Arabidopsis thaliana: one gene and its partners. The main gene of each other region encodes a partner of the protein of the gene in region 3 in a complex. Each region holds a gene or a part of one and is shown on either strand. Other genes may lie near its edges.

Evidence for each region.
Region 1: MED9 (region 3) and AT1G15770 share a complex: the UniProt entries of both Arabidopsis thaliana proteins name them as parts of the mediator complex.
Region 2: MED9 (region 3) and MED21 share a complex: the UniProt entries of both Arabidopsis thaliana proteins name them as parts of the mediator complex.
Region 4: MED9 (region 3) and NRB4 share a complex: the UniProt entries of both Arabidopsis thaliana proteins name them as parts of the mediator complex.

The regions. Positions count from the first base shown.
Region 1 is NC_003070.9:5,426,199-5,430,208, forward strand, and holds AT1G15770 (mediator of RNA polymerase II transcription subunit), read right to left. Parts: upstream 2,083-4,010; 5' UTR 2,018-2,082; coding exon 1,931-2,017; intron 1,608-1,930; coding exon 1,098-1,607; intron 979-1,097; coding exon 694-978; 3' UTR 510-693; downstream 1-509. Other genes in the region: AT1G15760 (Sterile alpha motif (SAM) domain-containing protein), read left to right, coding at 1-124; AT1G15772 (mediator of RNA polymerase II transcription subunit), read right to left, coding at 2,503-2,736, 2,820-2,894, 2,987-3,034. UniProt on the Arabidopsis thaliana protein: Component of the Mediator complex, a coactivator involved in the regulated transcription of nearly all RNA polymerase II-dependent genes.
Region 2 is NC_003075.7:2,430,381-2,434,181, forward strand, and holds MED21 (mediator 21), read left to right. Parts: upstream 1-1,871; 5' UTR 1,872-1,982; intron 1,983-2,264; 5' UTR 2,265-2,284; coding exon 2,285-2,575; intron 2,576-2,659; coding exon 2,660-2,711; intron 2,712-2,940; coding exon 2,941-3,017; 3' UTR 3,018-3,255; downstream 3,256-3,801. Other genes in the region: AT4G04775 (zinc ion binding protein), read left to right, coding at 740-904, 975-1,292. UniProt on the Arabidopsis thaliana protein: Component of the Mediator complex, a coactivator involved in the regulated transcription of nearly all RNA polymerase II-dependent genes.
Region 3 is NC_003070.9:20,552,357-20,555,921, forward strand, and holds MED9 (mediator of RNA polymerase II transcription subunit-like protein), read right to left. Parts: upstream 1,899-3,565; 5' UTR 1,819-1,898; coding exon 1,345-1,818; intron 1,276-1,344; coding exon 1,213-1,275; intron 1,128-1,212; coding exon 1,047-1,127; coding exon of another isoform or gene 968-1,046; coding exon 909-967; intron 823-908; coding exon 765-822; 3' UTR 549-764; downstream 1-548. Other genes in the region: AT1G55070 (F-box and associated interaction domains-containing protein), read left to right, coding at 1-277; AT1G55090 (carbon-nitrogen hydrolase family protein), read left to right, coding at 2,501-2,694, 2,856-3,161, 3,243-3,466, 3,565-3,565. UniProt on the Arabidopsis thaliana protein: Component of the Mediator complex, a coactivator involved in the regulated transcription of nearly all RNA polymerase II-dependent genes.
Region 4 is NC_003070.9:5,430,597-5,438,396, forward strand, and holds the start of NRB4 (mediator of RNA polymerase II transcription subunit 15a-like protein), read right to left. Parts: upstream 6,023-7,800; 5' UTR 5,758-6,022; intron 5,757-5,757; exon of another isoform or gene 5,618-5,756; coding exon of another isoform or gene 5,560-5,617; intron 5,334-5,559; coding exon of another isoform or gene 5,326-5,333; coding exon 5,213-5,325; intron 5,089-5,212; coding exon 4,977-5,088; intron 4,801-4,976; coding exon 4,683-4,800; intron 4,583-4,682; coding exon 3,197-4,582; intron 3,098-3,196; coding exon 3,027-3,097; intron 2,905-3,026; coding exon 2,830-2,904; intron 2,502-2,829; coding exon 1,218-2,501; intron 1,106-1,217; coding exon 761-1,105; intron 617-760; coding exon 410-616; intron 316-409; coding exon 1-315. UniProt on the Arabidopsis thaliana protein: Component of the Mediator complex, a coactivator involved in the regulated transcription of nearly all RNA polymerase II-dependent genes.

The DNA of each region.
Region 1 (4,010 bases), about 15 Mb from region 3:
CGATAGCTTCTCAAGTCCCATGGTTTTCGATTACAGTTTCAAGGATGAGAAACTTTACGCTCAAGATACTTATTTTGAAGATATCAAATGGGATTCAATGTTTCAGAATCTCAAACCTACTTAGAAAAATCTCTAAGTTCTGTTTTATGTTTTCTCTTTCAGCTTCTTCTTCGTTCTTTATATCAGAATTGATGGTGAGAGATGAGGTTTTAGGGTTCTTCCACCATGTTTTCTTGATTTTGTCTTTGTATGTGATTAGGCTAGTTAATTTTTGTTAGTTAACAATTGGAAAATAGAGTTGAGTGGTGGTGTCAGGTGTGTATGTGAGTGTGTGGGGTCATTGTAATGAGTCTGTCTCTCCAGTCTTTGCTTTTGGCCTAAGTCTCTGTTCCAGTCAAAACTTCTTTACAGCTTTTATCACTTTTTACTCTTTTCTCAAAAAATGCTCTGTTTACACACATAACCATGACGCTAAGCCTGCCGGAGTGATCTTACTCTTGAGGTAATCGGAAAGATCTTGAGCTCAGGACACTACACAGTCTACACTAGAGCACACAAAACATTGTGCTTCCAAATTTTATCTGTTGTGTGTGTGTCAATTTTCAGATATACCTAAGGGAAGTGTAACTGAAAACCATACCTCAGTTCTTGGCTTCTTGCCACCACAAGTCACAGTAGATTCCATATCTGATGTTACCAAACCAGCAAAATGCTTGTAGCTATTACCAACGCTTTCCTCCCAATGAAGCAACACTTGATGGCATTGGGGTTGTCTGACGCTTCCTTTTCATGGTCGCCATCTTGCGTCATGAAGTTTCTTTCTTGGAGATGGCACTTAGTCATTGCAACCAAGTCCACACCAAATGAAGCTCTTGAACCTTTGCCTGGTACTGAACCAGCAATCCTATCAACCATGCTTACAACAGATCTAATATCACATACTGCAGACGAAAGCGCTTGTGGTGAGATGGATTTCATCTGAAAACAACAGAAAGCAAACATCAAGATCAGAACAATGTTTCCACGGCAAATGAGGGATGGCAGCAATGACACTGCCCTGTTGCAATATACCCTTCAAAATTAGTAACGTTACTTACGGCTCTAATAAGGCGTTCAATAGGCAGCTCAGTAGCACTCGATTTTCCACAAGTACTTGTCAAAGGATTTATAATATTTCCATCAGGACTGGTAAGCTCCGGAAGGAGAGGAGAGGCAGAGATCCCTGGAGTGCCAATTTCAAGGGATTGAAGTACACCTTGCCTGATCTGTTGTACCCTTGACCCAGCACCCTGCATGCTCATTGATTGCATCTGCAGAGTTGTTTGGTCATCATGAGACTGATCTTGAACTGTCTGAGATAGTGGTTGCTGCATAGGCTGAATCTCAGATTTCGTAAGCTGCAGTTTCTGTACTGTCTTCCTCAGACTCTGCATATTTAAGAAATTCATAATGTTGTTCTTGCGATAATCCATACTATCCTTCAAGTCAGGTTTGATATTGCTCTTTGAAAGAGATAGGAAACGTAGCATTCCCTCCAACACTGTCTTGCCTCGTTTCAATTTCTCAAACTGATCTGATCTTTGTTTCTGATGCGAAAGAGAATCCTCCTAGAGAGAAAACGGAACGTATTCAGTAGAAAAGAAACAAACATATAGATGAACGTTAAAAGTTTACAACCTCTGTAGGTTTGGGAAGGAATATATCTGTCAGAAGGTTAACTTCTAGTGAACTATCTGTAAGTATAAGAGTCTGACGAACCTTTTACTTTGTTAAATGGGTAACAAGAATCCTAAGTTGTAGGACTTTCATTTGTAACAATGAACTGATCTTGCATTGAATTTGTAAAACTCTTCATAAAGTACTTAGTACTGTTCCAGAGGACGTACACGTGCAAACTAACTTCCTAGGAAGAATGAAAACTGTAACTTACTTGCTGCAACTTGGCTGCTACTCTCTGGTAGATTTCATTGAGGTCTCTTTGATGGATTTGATCTACAAAGAAAAGCAATATAATCATACATACGATTACTCATCATGGTGATATCATCTAGTAACAGAGAGATGATCCTGCTAGTAACAAAGGAATAATCTGGTTGTCGTAGTAATCTTTCAAGTAAGGCATGACATTGCTTCTTTGAAACAGATAGGAATTGTATCATTCTTCGCTCCAACATTGCCTTCAATCTCTCAAATTGCTTTAATCTCTGTTGATGGGTAAAAGAATTCTGCATGAATTCAATAAGAAACCAAACCCTACCCTACTAGTTGACGGAACACTAAAGCACCCACCAAAAACACACCTAATCTCCGAGAAATTAACATTTACAAAAAAAAAAAGGGTCTTTATTCATTTTTCGATCATAACTTGATAGGAGGAGCCTGGTAGAAACAGAGCACCGGAGTCAACAACATTGAGGATGAGAGTTCAAAACACATCAGAAGAGAGAAGACCAACATAAAAAGAGAGAGAGACAAAATATCTACAATGCATTTCCTTGATTATTATGAGACTGATCTTGAAGCTGCCTTTGCTGTACTGTCTTCCCAGCCGGTTCTTAGCGTAATTAAGAAATATATAATCCGTTTCTCATAATAGTCCCATCTACAATCCTTTAATATCGGCATGATATTTCTCTTTCGAAGAGATAGGACTTGGATCAATTGCTCTATGTTTGTCTTCATGCTTTGGAACTTGTCAAAGTGCTTTGATCTTTGTTGCTGCGGAAGCGATTCCTCCTGAAAAAAACAAACAAACTAGTATTACTACATCTATACAACTTAAGGCAGAGAGTTAATAGTTGACAGTAACTACATCTTACATGGTTCAACTTGTCTGCAAGTCTCTGGTAAACATCAGTCACATGTGGTAGATAACGCTCTCTCATGGATCTAAGCTGTATAAACAATTACACACCACAATGAATGATCCCGATGATGATTTAAGAAAGGAGTTTTATTATTATGATGATTATGACTTATGAGTTACCTTTTGGAAAACCTCCTCCCGCCAATCATCTCCATTTTCATTTTCCATTGTATCTACTATCTAGTGTTGCTAGCCAAGAAAAATAATTAAAAAGCGAGATTCATTCATCATCAGAAACTGTGTAAAAAAAAATACAAAAACCTAAAATTAGAGGTACACAAGTATCATCAATCCATAAAACTAGTTTCTTATGCAAAAGGTTTTGCTATCGACGAATCCATGGGTTTACTATGACACGTAATGAGATAGGTGACTCAAAATAAGGACCTTTTGGCGATGAATCTCCGAGACTTAGAACGGTCCGTTTGGATTTGGTTTTTCTCCAAACGTTCTTACGTTTCAATCTTTCTTTTAATAAGTGAAACGTAGCAATTAGGGTTAAGGAGAAGAATTAGAGATGATTGTTTTTGTTTTAATCATCTTTTGATTTTATAGAGAAACAAACAAGAGAGAGCTAAATACAAGGATTAAAAGGCTTCAACAACATTACAATATCAGGTTATTAAGCGAGGCCCAATGACCCAATAATAAGTACTTATCAGGCCCAAGTCTCTTCTGCAAATAATAAGTTTTTTGGAGTTTTTTTAAGTTTTCTATTTCACACAGTAAAGGCTAAAAATCGAGTAAAGAGACTTGTAGAAAAACCAGTGAAATCTCCGGCTATTTGTGTGACCAAAATGTTAATTATAGTCATTAACTAAATAAATCTCGTTCATGTACTAATTTGTATAGACAATTACACACCACACTGATCACTCCTTGTATCTTCTAACTTGATGACTTTATGATGATAAATCATCAATAATTACAATAAAAAAGTTAGCCATTTGGTATATACAAAAAAAAAAAAATGTTTCAAACAGCCATTTTATTGTGACAACTGAACAGAGTAAAGAAGTTGAAACTCTTCTGAACGATCTCAAAATGCGTATTACAACAAATCTCAAAATACAACATTCAGCAAGACCCCAAAAAAGGGGTAATTGCACTTCAGAATTAGAAGAAAATGACGAATATACTAACA
Region 2 (3,801 bases), on a different chromosome or scaffold from region 3:
TTAGCTGAAAAAAAGGAAGTAAAACCAAAAACATATATAAGGAAACATTTTAAACCAACGAAATTGAATCAAGAGACAAAATTCAAAAGAAAATAAAAAACTATGGGAAAAATAAGACCTAAACTTCTCCTAAAAAATGTGAACGCCGGAAACACCAATAAGATCGGATAGATTTTACACCGAAGTCAAAACTAATAGTAAATCGACAGAGAGGAAAGCAAGAAGCCGCTGAAACCAGAGACATAAGTACAAACACCATCACACCTCACCCACCAGACCGAGATAGCAAAATGTACTAGGGACAAGGCATAAACCTTGAAGATCTACTAGAGATAATTAAAGCACTAGACACAATCAGTATCGATTCTACTTGGGTTAGCTGATTTTCGAGCCATAAACTATTTCGATTCTCAGCTTTCACCCCCGGACTTTTGGGCCCTTAAATTTCCACCATCAACTTTCATATTCCCAAAATTACATCATCTACTTTCGGATTCATGCTTAAACATACATTTCCAATTGAACCATTCATTTAACCGGGATTAACCACAAATCCGCGTTTACTGTACCGCGATTGCGATTAACCCGACTAATACCCAGACCCGTTAAGAAAACGACGTCGTTTTCATTTCGTTTAACTCATCAAAAAGAGAAAGAAAACGACGTCGTTTTCATTCTTCTTCTTCTGCAAAATCGATTTGGTCGATTAGGGTTCTTCATTCGACAATTTTATAAGAAAATGAGCACCAACAGCTACTACTCATCCGCTTCCAGTTCAGGATTTCGTGTCTGTCCTCCTGGTGTCCCCTCGAAATGTTGGTGTGGAGAAGAGATCATTACATTCACATCGAAAACAAAGGAGAATCCATACCGGAGATTCTACCGTTGTGCGATAGCAATGAAGGTACACATTTCGATTTTGTGATATATTTGATTGATTGAAGGAGTAAATGATTGGAAATTATGTTTTATAGAGAGAAAATGAAGAGCACTTGTTCAAATGGGTTGATGAAGCTCTCTTGGACGAAATTAAGATGGTAAATGAGAAGTGTAAGAGAGTTGTAGAGAATATTAGTGACCTCAGAATGAACGTGATGGCTAATATGGAGCTCCTTAATAAAAACGCTAAGCAGATGGAGGAAGAGCTGATTAAGAAGATGGAGGGTGAACTCTTGACCATGAAGGAGAATGTGGAAGAGCTAGGACATGTTATGGCAAAGTCAGCTTTGAAGACTGTAGGGGTTGCTGTTGTGATTGTTGCATCTATTGTATGGCTTTGGGGAAGAGTGTAGGTGTTGTTGAGGTTTTGGAGTGAAATTGTAGTATTGGATTAGTCTCTGTTATAAAATTGTCGAATGAAGAACCCTAATCGACCAAATCGATTTTGCAGAAGAAGAAGAATGAAAACGACGTCGTTTTCTTTCTCTTTTTGATGAGTTAAACGAAATGAAAACGACGTCGTTTTCTTAACGGGTCTGGGTATTAGTCAGGTTAATCGCAATCGCGGTACAGTAAACGCAGATTTGTGGTTAATCCCGGTTAAATGAATGGTTCAATTGGAAATGTATGTTTAAGCATGAATTCGAAAGTAGATGATGTAATTTTGAGGAATATGAAAGTTGATGGTGAAAATTTAAGGGCCCAAAAGTCCGGGGGTGAAAGCTGAGAATCGAAATAGTTTATGGCTCAAAAATCAGCCACCCAATTCTACTTCAGTGTTTTTTTTTTTAATTAGTTGTCAATTAATTAAAGCAGTAGGTTTAAAGAAACAACAGAAATCGTTCCTTACGAATTCTATGGAATTAGGGCCCAAAAATCCAAAGGAAAGGCCACCTTAAAAGCCCATTTTAAAAATCTTCGAGCCCAAACCCAAAACGCAGAACGAAGTTTATTAAGAACAACAAAACGCCCCAATTCGCAGCGATTATCTGTCGTTGCCACACCCAACAGACTCTGCGTCGCCGGAGAAATCTTGTCGACGGGTAAGTCTCTTCGTTAAAGCTTATGCTTCGTTAAATCGATTAGGTCAATTTTTTCCCTGAGGATTCGCCATTTTGATCCTCTCTGAAATCCAACTGGTTTTAAGTGATTTATGCTTTGGCACTAGTTTTGTTGAGAATCTTGTTTGATAAATTCAGGAATTGACCACCAATTTTGTGCCATTTGAATCTCCTAGATCCTCTCTGAACGTTATATCTTGCTTTTGAGTATATGTTAAAAGTCTAATATGTGATTGATTACTGTAAATTTTATACTTGTTCAAGGTCTTTTAAGGTTTTGGAAGATGGATATAATCTCACAGTTGCAAGAACAAGTGAATACGATTGCTGCTATCACTTTCAATGCTTTTGGGACACTGCAAAGGGATGCACCACCAGTCCAGCTTTCACCTAATTATCCTGAACCACCCGCTACAACTACGGTTACTGATGATGCTACGCCTTTTCCTGAGCAACCTAAGCAGCTCAGTGCTGGCTTAGTTAAGGCTGCTAAACAGTTTGATGCTTTGGTTGCTGCACTTCCTTTGTCAGAAGGTGGTGAAGGTGCTCAGCTCAAAAGAATCGCTGAACTCCAGGTCAAACAAGTCACACCGATATGTCGAGTTCTTGAATCCGATTACTTCTATTTGTCTAACCGCTTTGTCCTGTTTTTTCTTCAGGTGGAAAATGATCTTGTTGGTCAAGAACTCCAAAAGCAACTAGAGGCTGCAGGTAAAAAACGATCTTAGGTTTTCACTTCATTGTTGGTGTGTCTTATCTGTCTGTAACTGGAGCAGATTCATTATGCACTTCAAATTTCAATTTGTATACTTTCTTGTTGATACACGCACTATGGTTAGATGTTATCTTTAGTGGTTCTAGAATTTGGAATTTTTGTTTTCCCTTGCAACTGCCTCTGACGATTGAGCTGATGTTAATGGTGTGACCTTGTTTGTGACAGAGAAGGAGCTAAAGCAAGTACAAGAGCTGTTTGGACAAGCTGCTGACAATTGCCTGAACATGAAGAAACCTGAATGAAATGCTTGTTTACCTTTTGTCGAGCTGATTTAGAAACTATATGATTTGGTTCAGCAACAATTATCTTTTAGGTTCATAAGGAATATCTATTCTAAGTTGGTTCACCAAAAAATTGTTGTAGAAGCAATTACAAGAATGTTAGTTAGCTCACAACAACAGAACCATTATTTTAACCTTACACTTTTTTGACCTGTCTGATTACAATCTCAGAGAATCCACTTTATCATTTTCACAATTACAGGCCATGATTGACACATCATGTTTGATTCTCCGGGCAGTGTTGGTCAAATTACTATGATGGTCAAATTACTATGAACTCTGGTATCTGTCACATTCAATCCAAGTTGCTGAAAAGAAATGACCAGTCCATAAGTTGTGGTCCAAAACCGGATCTTGATTGTGTATTTGTACTCAAGCATGTGAAGATATCCTAACTCATCATCCTTCTTGCGCTCTCTCACAAGACTTGTATAGAGTCCAACAATCTTTTGTCTGCGTGATGAAGCTTTAGGATGAAAAGAAAACTTTAGCCAGTCCGATCAATATTATAAATTAACAATTGTATAAATTTACCAATATATATATTTATATAAATATTATATGTAAAATATTTAGTGAAATATGACTCTACTATTGTTTTTCTTTAATTTTTATTAATTTTTTGTAAAGTTCAATTCTAATACTTTTACTATGTGAAAAAAAAAAATTGTATTTTTTTTTTAAACTTAATAATTGTTTTCTACTTATAATCGGATTAAGAAAGATTATTGATTATAAAGAAAAG
Region 3 (3,565 bases):
TGGCCAGGAACGTAAATGGTCAAAGCATATCTACGTAAAGCCCCTTCAATGGCCGGAGTTCAATGGAATTGATGTAAACTTTTTAGTTACTAGTAAAGGTGAAGCTGTATTCTGCCCAAATCACTATGATCCACAAGTTCCTTTTTACCTTTATTACTACAATCTCGAGGAGAACATTGTGGTAAGAGTAAGAGTTGAAGTTCCAGAATCTCAAGGTTCTAAACGGGTTTTGTTTCATGCTGTTCCAAACTATCTAGAGAATATGAAGCTTACGTGAGTGTTTTATTGGGTTTTTTTTTTACCTGTTTAAGACTATTATCATGATTTCAAAATAGTGAGTAGGGATAGATTAGAAGTCGGTGTTTTTATTTCTTTTTAAAAGACTAATAGATGTGGCTTCAATGGTGTTTTGTTTTATATTTGGAGGATCATTGTGGAATAATGGTTGAATTTTCCATGGTCGCTACAATGCTTTTTCTACTCTGTTCTGAATCTAAATCACAAAACCACTCACTATGTTCAACAACTACCTGGGCTTATATCGTTTTTGGGTTGAGCTTTCTGTTGCATGTCCCACATACAAAGATTTTGGTTTGGTTTGATGCAGACAAAACACATTATGCATTGTGATCTATTTGTAATCCGAAGAATGAATTTTCTTGAAGAAAACCACATTCTCTTTATTATGTGAATCAAGATTGGTTTATTGATAACAATTATTGGTCTTAAGTAGCTAAACAGTTGCTGAATCAAAATATGAGAAACTAATGCTCCATTGTCACAATCTCTTCAATAGATTTCCTATACTCCACAATCAAATCCCTGACCAGAAGACATTTAACAACAAAAGAGTAAGAGCACGATCACAATCTGATCAGATAAAACATGATACTAACAATCTAGCTAACCTTCTCTGTTGAAGCAATTGCTCACTTTCTTCAACATTTCTCTTTTGGCCATCAACAGTCTATAAAACACAGAGAGAGAGAGAGATCCATAAGAAACAAAAGATTAAACAGAACCAATACAGAGATCCAAAATGTTACCATAGTTTTAGATCCTAGTGATCCTGAAATCGAATTCAGCAACTGTTGACACTTGTCGAAATGGCTATTCAATTCATTCACCTGCAAATCCCACAATTTCAACATCATCCAATAAGAAACCCTAGAAATCTCAAAACCACTTTAAAAGACTTGATTTTTAACAAACCAGGGCGTCAGAATTCTGATCTCGTGTTCCATTTTCGATCACATCAGCTAATTTCTCCACCATCTGCGTCATTAACACGAAATTAGAACCCCCAACGATTCCAATTTCATCAATTTTCTTTGTTTCTCTTACCGGATAGAGATGGAAATGAGAAGCTAAAGACTGATGCTGTTGAGGAGTCTGCACCGGAGTTTGAACCAACTGTTGTTGTTGCTGCGGTGTATGCATCATAGATTGAGGCGTGTGAACCATCGTCTGTTGCGGCGGAGGTGATTGTAACGACTGTGGCTGAAGAGGAGGAGATTGTAACAACCGTTGTTGTTGTTGGAATTGCTGTTGTTGGATGAAGTGTTGCTGTTGTTGGAATTGCTGATATTGTTGCATCTCTTGTTGTTGTTGTGGCTGGAATTGTTGTTGTTGCTGCTGCGTCTGTTGTTGTTGTTGAAGATGAAACTGTTGTTGTTGTTGTTGTTGTTGTTGTTGTTGTAATTGTTGTTGCTGGAGGAATAGTTGCTGGTCATGATTCGTCGGTGTACCGAAGTTACCTTGCGCCTGCACGTTTGGGATCATCGACCAATTACCTCCTCCTCCTGAGAATTGATCCATTTTTTCTCCTTCCGATCTCGCTAATTCTCCTTCTCGTCGCCGTCGTCGTCTATTAAAACTTAAAAGAACGAAGAAGAGACAAAAGTGGGAACTTAAACGATGTCGTGTTTTGACCAAAAAAAAAAAAAAATGATGTCGTGTCATGATAAAACGAAGTTGTTCTCAGTTAAGGTTTTGTTTGTAATTTACAATCGTAAAACGCCGTCGTTTCAGTATCAATCTCTTCTTCTTCTTCTTCCTCTCAAACCGAATGTTCTTCTTGGTCGGTCACAATCTGTTCTGCACGAGCACTGCACAATCACTTGGAGTCTGTGAATTTCACATCTGAAAGAAATACAAACTCCCATAGTTTTCAATTTTCACGATCTCCGAATTTCACGACTTTGATACTTGGTTTCTTTGCACATTCACGTAAGCTCCAATTCTTCCTTCTCTTCTTTTGGCAATTGATTCACATCGAATAGTGTTGCGTTGACGAGTTCTTCGTTACAGATATTGTGTATTATGGCTGTTAAAATTGAATTTGAATTGTTAGTATTAGCAAAGTAATACAAAGTTTGTTCCTTTAACTAATTTAACCAGCTTCTGTTCTCATGAACAAGTTTGTGCCTTAGATAAGTCAGATTTTTTACACTACTTGATGTACAGTAAATTTACTTGTCTTTCTCTTTAGGCGACGAAGATGAGGCTGTTGAAGGTTGCTACGTGTAACTTGAACCAATGGGCCATGGATTTCGAGAGCAACATGAAGAACATCAAGGCTTCGATCGCTGAGGCAAAGGCTGCTGGTGCTGTTATCAGGCTTGGACCCGAGCTCGAGGTCACTGGCTATGGTTGCGAGGATCACTTCTTGGAACTCGACACTGTCACTCATGCGTAAGCTTCTATTTTTAGTTTTCTATTTCGATGATGAATGGCATGAATGACTTGGTACTATCACTTTAGATGATGGAATTAATTTCTTTTTCTTCTGAATTTAGTTATCGGAATCATGTTTAACCGTTTCTTCTTATGTTCATGTGAATATCTTCTTTCAGGTGGGAGTGTTTGAAGGAATTGCTGCTTGGTGATTGGACGGATGATATTTTGTGCAGCATAGGAATGCCTGTGATTAAAGGAGCAGAGCGTTATAACTGCCAGGTTCTCTGTATGAACAGAAGAATCATCATGATTCGACCGAAAATGTGGCTCGCAAACGATGGAAACTATAGGGAGCTACGGTGGTTCACAGCTTGGAAGCAGAGAGAAGAGCTAGAGGAATTTCAGCTCCCCATTGAAATTTCAGAGGCTTTGGAGCAGAAATCAGTCCCTTTTGGTTATGGTTACATCCAGTTTATCGACACGTGAGTTTGGATAAATGCTTCCATTTCAACACTGTCAATGATTTTGTCTGCTTAACTGTATCAGTTATATTTCCTTATCAGGGCTGTTGCAGCTGAAGTCTGTGAGGAACTGTTTAGTCCACTTCCTCCTCATGCCGAGCTCGCATTGAATGGTGTTGAAGTATTTATGAATGCAAGTGGGAGTCATCACCAACTTAGGAAACTAGATATTCGTCTGAATGCTTTTATGGGGGCTACTCATGCTCGTGGTGGGGTGTATATGTACAGTAATCAACAAGGATGCGATGGTAGCCGCTTATACTACGGTATGTTTGACAACCCTTAAAATTATTGAAAGTATCATTTTTGAGTAAATCATATCTACTTTTTTGAGTGAGATTTGTTCATTTGTAACCAAGTGCAGA
Region 4 (7,800 bases), about 15 Mb from region 3:
CTTAGCAATATGTTGAACCTTGCCATAGCTTTGGACGACAGGTCCTCGTTTTCTTTGCTGTTCAAGAAACCAGACCGTGTTACGGTAAGAAGATAACGCAGTTTCTAATAAAGGGTTTCTAGTAGATGATTCTTGTGAAGATTTTAACTGTATCGTAGAAGTTTGCTCGACTCGGTACGGAAAATCTATGGTTCTATTTACTTGAGACTGAAGGATTTGCTTGTACCTGGTTTCGACCGGGAGTTTATCTAGAAGAGATGGAGAGCCATTGGGGTAGCTACAAGGAACCAGCAGACGCAATGGTTGAATAGGAGACTGTAATAGAAGCACAAAGCATATATTATAAAAAAGGATAAATGAAATATTTTGTTTCACAAAACGTTAATGTTAACGAGATGACCATGTTTACCATTTGTGTTGATGAGAGATGAGCCTTCAAGGCTGGGCTGAGAGAAACAGCTATAAACGAGAATCTAACTGTTGTTCCTTCACACCCTATGCTTGATATTGCAACCTCACTAGGATCAGCAGCATCTTCATCATCACTTATCTCAACAACTGTATCTATCAGCCGCTGGTTTATTTCCTTTATTTCCTCCAAAAGGGCATGCTCGGTCTGCAGTTCAAGATTGAGTCTTCAAAAAAAAAAGAATATCGAAACCTTGTGCTTCCAAATTTTCTTTGTTACGTGTGTGTGTGTGTGTGTGAGTGTGTGTCAATATTCAAATATAGCTAGGGGAAGTCTAACTGAGTATCATACCTCAGTTCTTGCCTTCTTGCCATCCGAAGTCGCAGTAGATTCTAGATCGGATGTTTCTGAACCAGCAAACTGCTTGTAGTTATCACCAACACTTCCTCCCAGTGAAGCAACGCTTAGTGGCATTGCGGTTGTGTGACGCTTCATTTTCTTAGTCGCCATCATTCCCTCTTGGGTCATGAAGTTTCTTGCTTGGAGACGGCACTTAGTCATTGCAACCAAGTCTTCACCAACGGAAGCTCTTGAACCGTTTCCTGGTGCTGAACCAGCTATCCGATCAACCATGCTTACAACAGATCCGATGTCACTTACTGCAGAAGAAAGGGCTTGTGGTGAGATGGACTTCACCTGAAAGCAAAGCATACATCATAAGCAGAACAATGATTATATTACAAAACGGGTTTGCAGCAATATCACCGTCCTGCTGCGATATACCCTTAAAAATTGGAAATTTACTTACGGCTCTAATAAGGCGTTCAATAGGCAGCTCAGTAGCACTCGGTTTTCCAGATGTAATTGTCGAAGAATTTAAAATATTCCCATCAGGACTAGTAAACTCCTGAAGGAGAGGAGAGGCAGAGATCCCTGGAGTGCCAATTGCTAGGGACTGAACTACACCTTGCATGCCGGTTGCTTGTTGGCGTGCAATATTTCCCATTGACAACGAAGAAGAACCAGGTTTCTCAGAGTCAACTTGCATAGGGGACGGAGCCAAGGGGGTTGAAGAAGGAGATGGGACAACAAAAGGGGAATTTGCAGGTTGCAATGGAGTTCCCATCTTGTTGACAGTATTTTTCTGGTCAACCTGAGGAGACAAATGTTGTGACATCTGAGGAGATGCACCTTGCAGAAGTTGAGGCGACGAAACAGCTCCTGGTTTTAACTGTTGAAGAGGATAATTCGCACGCTGACCCTGCATAGAATGTTGCTGAAACATCCCACGACTGACATTCATCCCCTGCCTCGATGTTAAATCATTCATATCATTCATCTGCTGTAATTGTGCCGCTTGCTGTCTTGCTTGCAACTGTTGCTGTTGCTGTTGCTGTCTTGCTTGCAACTGTTGCTGTTGCATCTGGCGCTGTTGAAATTGCTGTTTGAGCTGCATTTGTTGATCTTGCTGTTGCTTGAGGTGCTGATGCTGAAGCAAACTGGAACTTAACTGGGGTTGATTCACATTCGACTGCAGTGTGCTCAACCCACTTTGAGCAGAGGCAGAACTGTTATTTACTAGTTGAGAAGTATTTTGTTGCATAGATCCCATGGCAACCTGCTGTCCATTGTTCAAGGTATTTCCTTGGCCTGATTCTAAACTAGAAGCCGGTATGGAACTGGGAATGTTCTGCTGTGGAGCTGAAACTCCAGGACGAGATGATAGAACATTGCTCTGCATATTTGTCATACTACTCTGTTGTGCCCTTGGCCCAGCACCCTGCATGCTCATTGATTGCATCTGCGGATTTGTTTGGTTATCATGGGATTGATCTTGAACTGTCTGAGATTGTGGTTGCTGCATAGGCTGCATCTGAGATTGCGGAAGCTGCCCTTGCTGTACTGGCTTCCTCGGCCTGTGCATATTTAAGAAACCTATAATCTGCTTCTCATAATAAGCCACCTTATCTTTTAATGCGGGCATGATGTTGCTCTTTGAAACAGATAGAAATTGTATCATTCGCTCCAACATTGTTTTGAATTGTCTCAGTTTCTCAAGCTGATCTGATCTTTGTTGCTGTGGCATAGAATCCTGCTCCAGATACAAAAATAACTTACTAAATAAAAAAGAAACAAATACATAGATGCAAGCTACAACTTCTGTAGGTTTGGGAAGGAACATAAATATCAGCAGGTTGATTTTCTAGTAAACTGTAAGAATACGAGTCTCAAGATTCTTTTTCTTTTTCTTTGTTAAATGGGTAACAAGACTCCAAAGTTGATGACGTTCTTATGCAATAACGAACCGAACTTGCATTGAATTCATAAAGCTTCTCAGAAGGTACTCACTACTGTTCCAGAGGACATAGACGTACAAACGATTCTCCTAGTATAAAAAAGAAAAGAAAATTGTAACTTACTTGCTGCAACTTTGCTGCAACTCTCTGGTAGATTTCATTCAGATCTGGTAAGTAAGTCTCTTTCATAGATTTGATCTACAAAGACAAGCAATATGGTCATATGATTACTCATTACAATGATATCTATCACTTGAAGATTTAATAAGTGTAGCCATAATTGGTAAAGATATATAGCAAACACAAAAAGAGAGAACTACCTTTTGGTAAACCTCCTCTTGCCAATCACCTCCATTTGCACTTTCCGTCTGTGCTGTCGAATCCAGCGATGCTAAGAATTATAAAAACGAAAATATGTTCAGCATCATATCCTGCTGAGAGATTATGGAAAATATCAGAACCTAAAGTATTAAAAGGATCAAAAGCATACATGATGGCATCTCCGGAAGGGTTCTTTGGGATTGATATAGTTGTCTCTGTTGGTCCACAACATTTTGAGGTGGAAGCAGGGAACCAGTGACTTGGCCTGAAGCTTGTAGCCTTTGTTGCACATCCTGTTGTAGCAGATTAGGTTGTTGTTGCAAACCCAGCTGCTGATGATGCGATTGAAGCTGTGGCATCATCTGCTGTTGTGATGGCTGATTTTGTGACTGTTGTCCCTGAGAAGAATACAAGCCATGGCCAGCCTGATGTGTTCGTTGCAGCCCAACCGTTGGTTGTGATAACATGTGCACCGAGTGCTGGTTATTCTGCAAACTCGAATTGCCAACCTGGGAATTGAGCATCTGTTGTTGTGGTTGCTGCAATCCTGCAACATTGCTTTGAGTGCCCAGTGGGTTCTGATGCGTTGCCTGGAGGCTGTTTTGTTGAGACATCAACTGCTGCTGGGCCGGTGGCTGCTGTTTCTGCTGTTGCTGTGGCTGCTGCAGTGGTTGCTGCTGCGACTGCTGCTGTTGTATGTTCATAACATTATTTTGTTGGTTCAGTAACCTTTGCTGATGTTGCTGCTGCATATCCCCAACAACATGCTGCCCCATCATCTGCTTCTGTTGGATGCCTGAGCTATTTGCAGCTTGTTGCCGCATTAATTGTGTAGGCTGCTGCTGTAGAGGAGAAATTGATTGTTGCGGCAATGAAGATTGCTGCTGATGGATACCAGAGGCTTGTTGTGATTGCGGATGTTGCCTTAGCATCGACGATTGATGCTGACGAAGCATAGATTGTGTCGTCTGCTGAGAAGACAATTGCGGACTTGATTGCTGATTGGTGTGGAGACCTTGGAGAGGAGCTGAGTTCACAGTGGAGGGCTGAGTCGCAGATGTTGGAACACCAGGTTGTTGAGATGAATGCAGTTGATTAGGCTGCAGCACATTTTGCTGCTGTTGTTGAATGTGTGATGGCAAAAGCGAATTGGGATTGGGAACATTCCCTGACTGGAAGTTCTGCTTGAGAAGTTGCTGCTGTAGCTGCTGCTGGTAAAGATATGGCTGCTGTTGTTGCTGTGAAGACATAGCATGTGGCCTACCCAGCATCTGCCTTTGGGGTCCTGAAAACATGTTCGAGGAAAGGCCATGCTGCCCAGATGAATCTTGCAACATTCCAGCTACATTTTGCATATTGGCATTCTGGTTCACAACGCTTGTGGTGTTATTATTGGTTATGGAAGAAACAGGTGGCATGGAAGATGGTAAAGCAGTAGAACCCGTCATTCCAGAGGCAGTATTATTCTGCATGGTTTGGGACAGCAACGGCTGAGGTGCTTGAGATTGATTGGTTGATAACGATCCTGGAAGAAGTTGGCCTTGATTGGTGGGTACTATTCAAGGAAAGGTTAAACAGCATCAAATAAGAGGAACAATTAGCCATAAAACCAGATAAACAGACTTAAGCAATTCATGCTTGAGAATCGTGATTACTCGAATCTATGGATGTGCCATTATTAGCGGCAGGGATAGCTGCGGAAGAACCAGCTGCATTTTGTGATTTAGTCTCCATTGTCAGCATCTTCATTGATATTTTCCGAAGGTAATCAGTCTGAAAGGCGATATAAAAGAGTATCAGGAAGGTATACATGGATTTCATACCCAACATATTGTGGCTTAGCTTTACAGATACCGAAAGTCAGTTCTTTTCCATGTTGTGGAGTCCATTGCCTCACAAATCTCTATATTTACCATACTAACGAAACAAGAATATATGTTCATAATAACCTGGTTAAGAGCACCGCTGAAAATTTTCTCCTCGAATCTAGCTGCAATTCTCCTGAGCTCGTTAATTCCCTCTGGTCCGGAAAATGGAAGGTGCTTCTTTAGTGTTTCCATTCTGCGCAAGTGGCAAGCAAATAAGTAAAACAAACAAACTAACTATTGGTCAAGGAACATAATAACCTTCTATTTCTGTAGTATTTGACTGGCATAGACAAAACAACGCCGCTAGAGTGACTTACATCTTGTTGACGATCTTCTGACGAGAATCAGGTGGCAATTGCGTTCTCCAGTCACCTGTATCCATGGCAGGCTCTCCGTTTGGAAGAGAAGGCCTCCAATTGTTATTATCCATCAAGTTTTCTGTGTTTACAAGCCATGAAGAGCAAAGTATCAATAGTAAGTATACAGAGAAACCAAAACATGACAATATAACAACTGATTATCCCAAATCAACAGGAAACAAATGACCACACAACATGGATTAGATTAACACTCAGAATTTCTTATTGATCAGCCAAAATGTTCATTCTTTCTAATGTTGGTAGCAAAAAGCAATAAACTCAAAACATCAAATAGCCAATCCCACCGGAACGAGAATCCAGGAACTCAAAATAAGCAAACTTTATTACATCAACAAAGTTCATCTATTCTCGTAATTGTAATAAACCAGACCCAACTACAAAGGGAGATACTTTATCTTCTTTGGAATCCCGATCAAAAGAGAAAACTCTAAAAAGCAAGGCTTAAGAACAACAGAAAAAAAAACGAGATTCGAACATTTCACCTCAAATTCAGAGCCAATCAAGGAGATTTGGCGTTTGACGGAGTCAAGGTTGGTACAACGATTAGGGCTTGATATTAGGAAAACAGAGGAGAAAAAGGGGAAATTGGAGCTGGATTTAGGGTTTAGCTTGATCGAAAAACGAATGAAGAATATAGGATCTTCTAGGTAAAGAGACAGAGGAAACTTGTTCGCGTCGTAAATCATAATCGAGCCTACCAGTTCGCTTATAACAAGTTTTTTTTTTTTTCAAAATAAACAAAAAAATCTAGTATTAATTACCACATGTATAATTGTATAGTTTTCCCAGTTCAAATATGGTAGCATTGGTGCAAAATGTATTAGAAATTTGTTAACTAGATAATATGACCACTATTTTTCAATTTTAAATAAATTATATATTTTTCGTTTCATTTTAGAAAACGTTTTAGAAAAGTGATTATAAAGTGATAATAAAATTAGATATAATAAAAGTACATTAAGTCACATATGTTGTTTACGTTTTTTTTAACAAAACAGCATTTTTTATTAATAATTTTATAGGTTGGAAAAATAAACCTTACTAGATTTTAACCCGCGATACACCGCGGAGACAATTCATTTTTAAAAATTAATATATATAAAATTTGTAAATTATTTTATAGTTTACCATTGTTACTAAGTAACGTCCTGCCAAATCCGTCCTACCAAACATGTCCTGCCAAACCCGTCCAAAAAAAAAACTATTTATTTTATTAATGTTGATCTTATTTATAATATGTTTATGAATCATTGTCAAAATATTTTAGTCGTTGCGTGACATTGAACCCACACATTTTTCGCCAATTGGTTAATATATGTTCATTCTTAAAATTTCGAATCACAAAATATGACGAATTTTTTTTTGAGATTTTTTAAAACTCTATATATTATATAATGATGTTAATTTTTTTGATAAATTAAACTTTTTATAAATTCAAATATTGATAATGTTTTATGAAGTTTAAATATACAAATAATAATATTTAAAAAATTAATATTTTTTGCCTTTTAGGTAATGATATAATAACTCTAAAAGCAAGAATTTAGAAGATTTAAATCCTTAAATAAATATTTTCATGCCTAAATAATTAATGTCAGTAGTATGACATTGTAAATAAGTTCAAATACATGATTTGTTTATTTAAACAAAAAACGTTTAGTAAGAATAATATTTATTTAAACAAAAAACATTGTTTTAAAATATAGTTAATAAAATACGTTTATGCTAATTTTAAGGGATTGATGTGAAGTTTGTTTGGATTAAATTTGATTGATAATGTGATTGACAATTTAAATTAAAAATTTAAAGTAAAATTAATTATTTTGGAAAATATTTAATGTTAATGGCATTGGGTTGTAAATAAGTCCAACTCTAAGATTTATTTGCTAAAATGACTGCAAAAATGTATATGTAGATAGTTAAGGAATAAAATCCTTAATAATCTGATTTTAAAAATAAAAGCAAATAAAGACGATTTTCAATTAATTTTGAAATACATTTGTGTCCTTTCTTAATTCAATTATTTTAACTGTTTTGTTAATGAACTATGATATAAATATAATCAGACTAAAAATTTTTTTTTTTTTATAACTTTTTTATTATAGGGGATTTTAGAATAATCATCACATAATATTCATCAAACAAAACACAAAACCGGTTGAAGGTTTTATACATATTTAACAAATGTAAATTTCAGTATCATTACCTAAGAAACAATCAAACTCACCTAACTTGTCAAGTGTACATGTCCTATAAGTCAAAAGAGAAACTTTTCTTATGACAGAGGTTGTCTATGTGTAAATGTGTAATATGTTGATGTTTTCTGCAATATCTTTAGCCGCCAATGTTTGAAAGAGTTGGTGCGTATCAACTGCTCAATATTTCAGTCCAGTGAAACATAGTTTTAAGTTTTCGAAACGAGAAAACAACTAGTTTGTTTTTTTACTTTTCACCAAACAATGTCTTTTTTTTCCTTGTTGATTCTGGAGAAACGAGAAATGGTGTTTGATAAGTCAAACCAATAG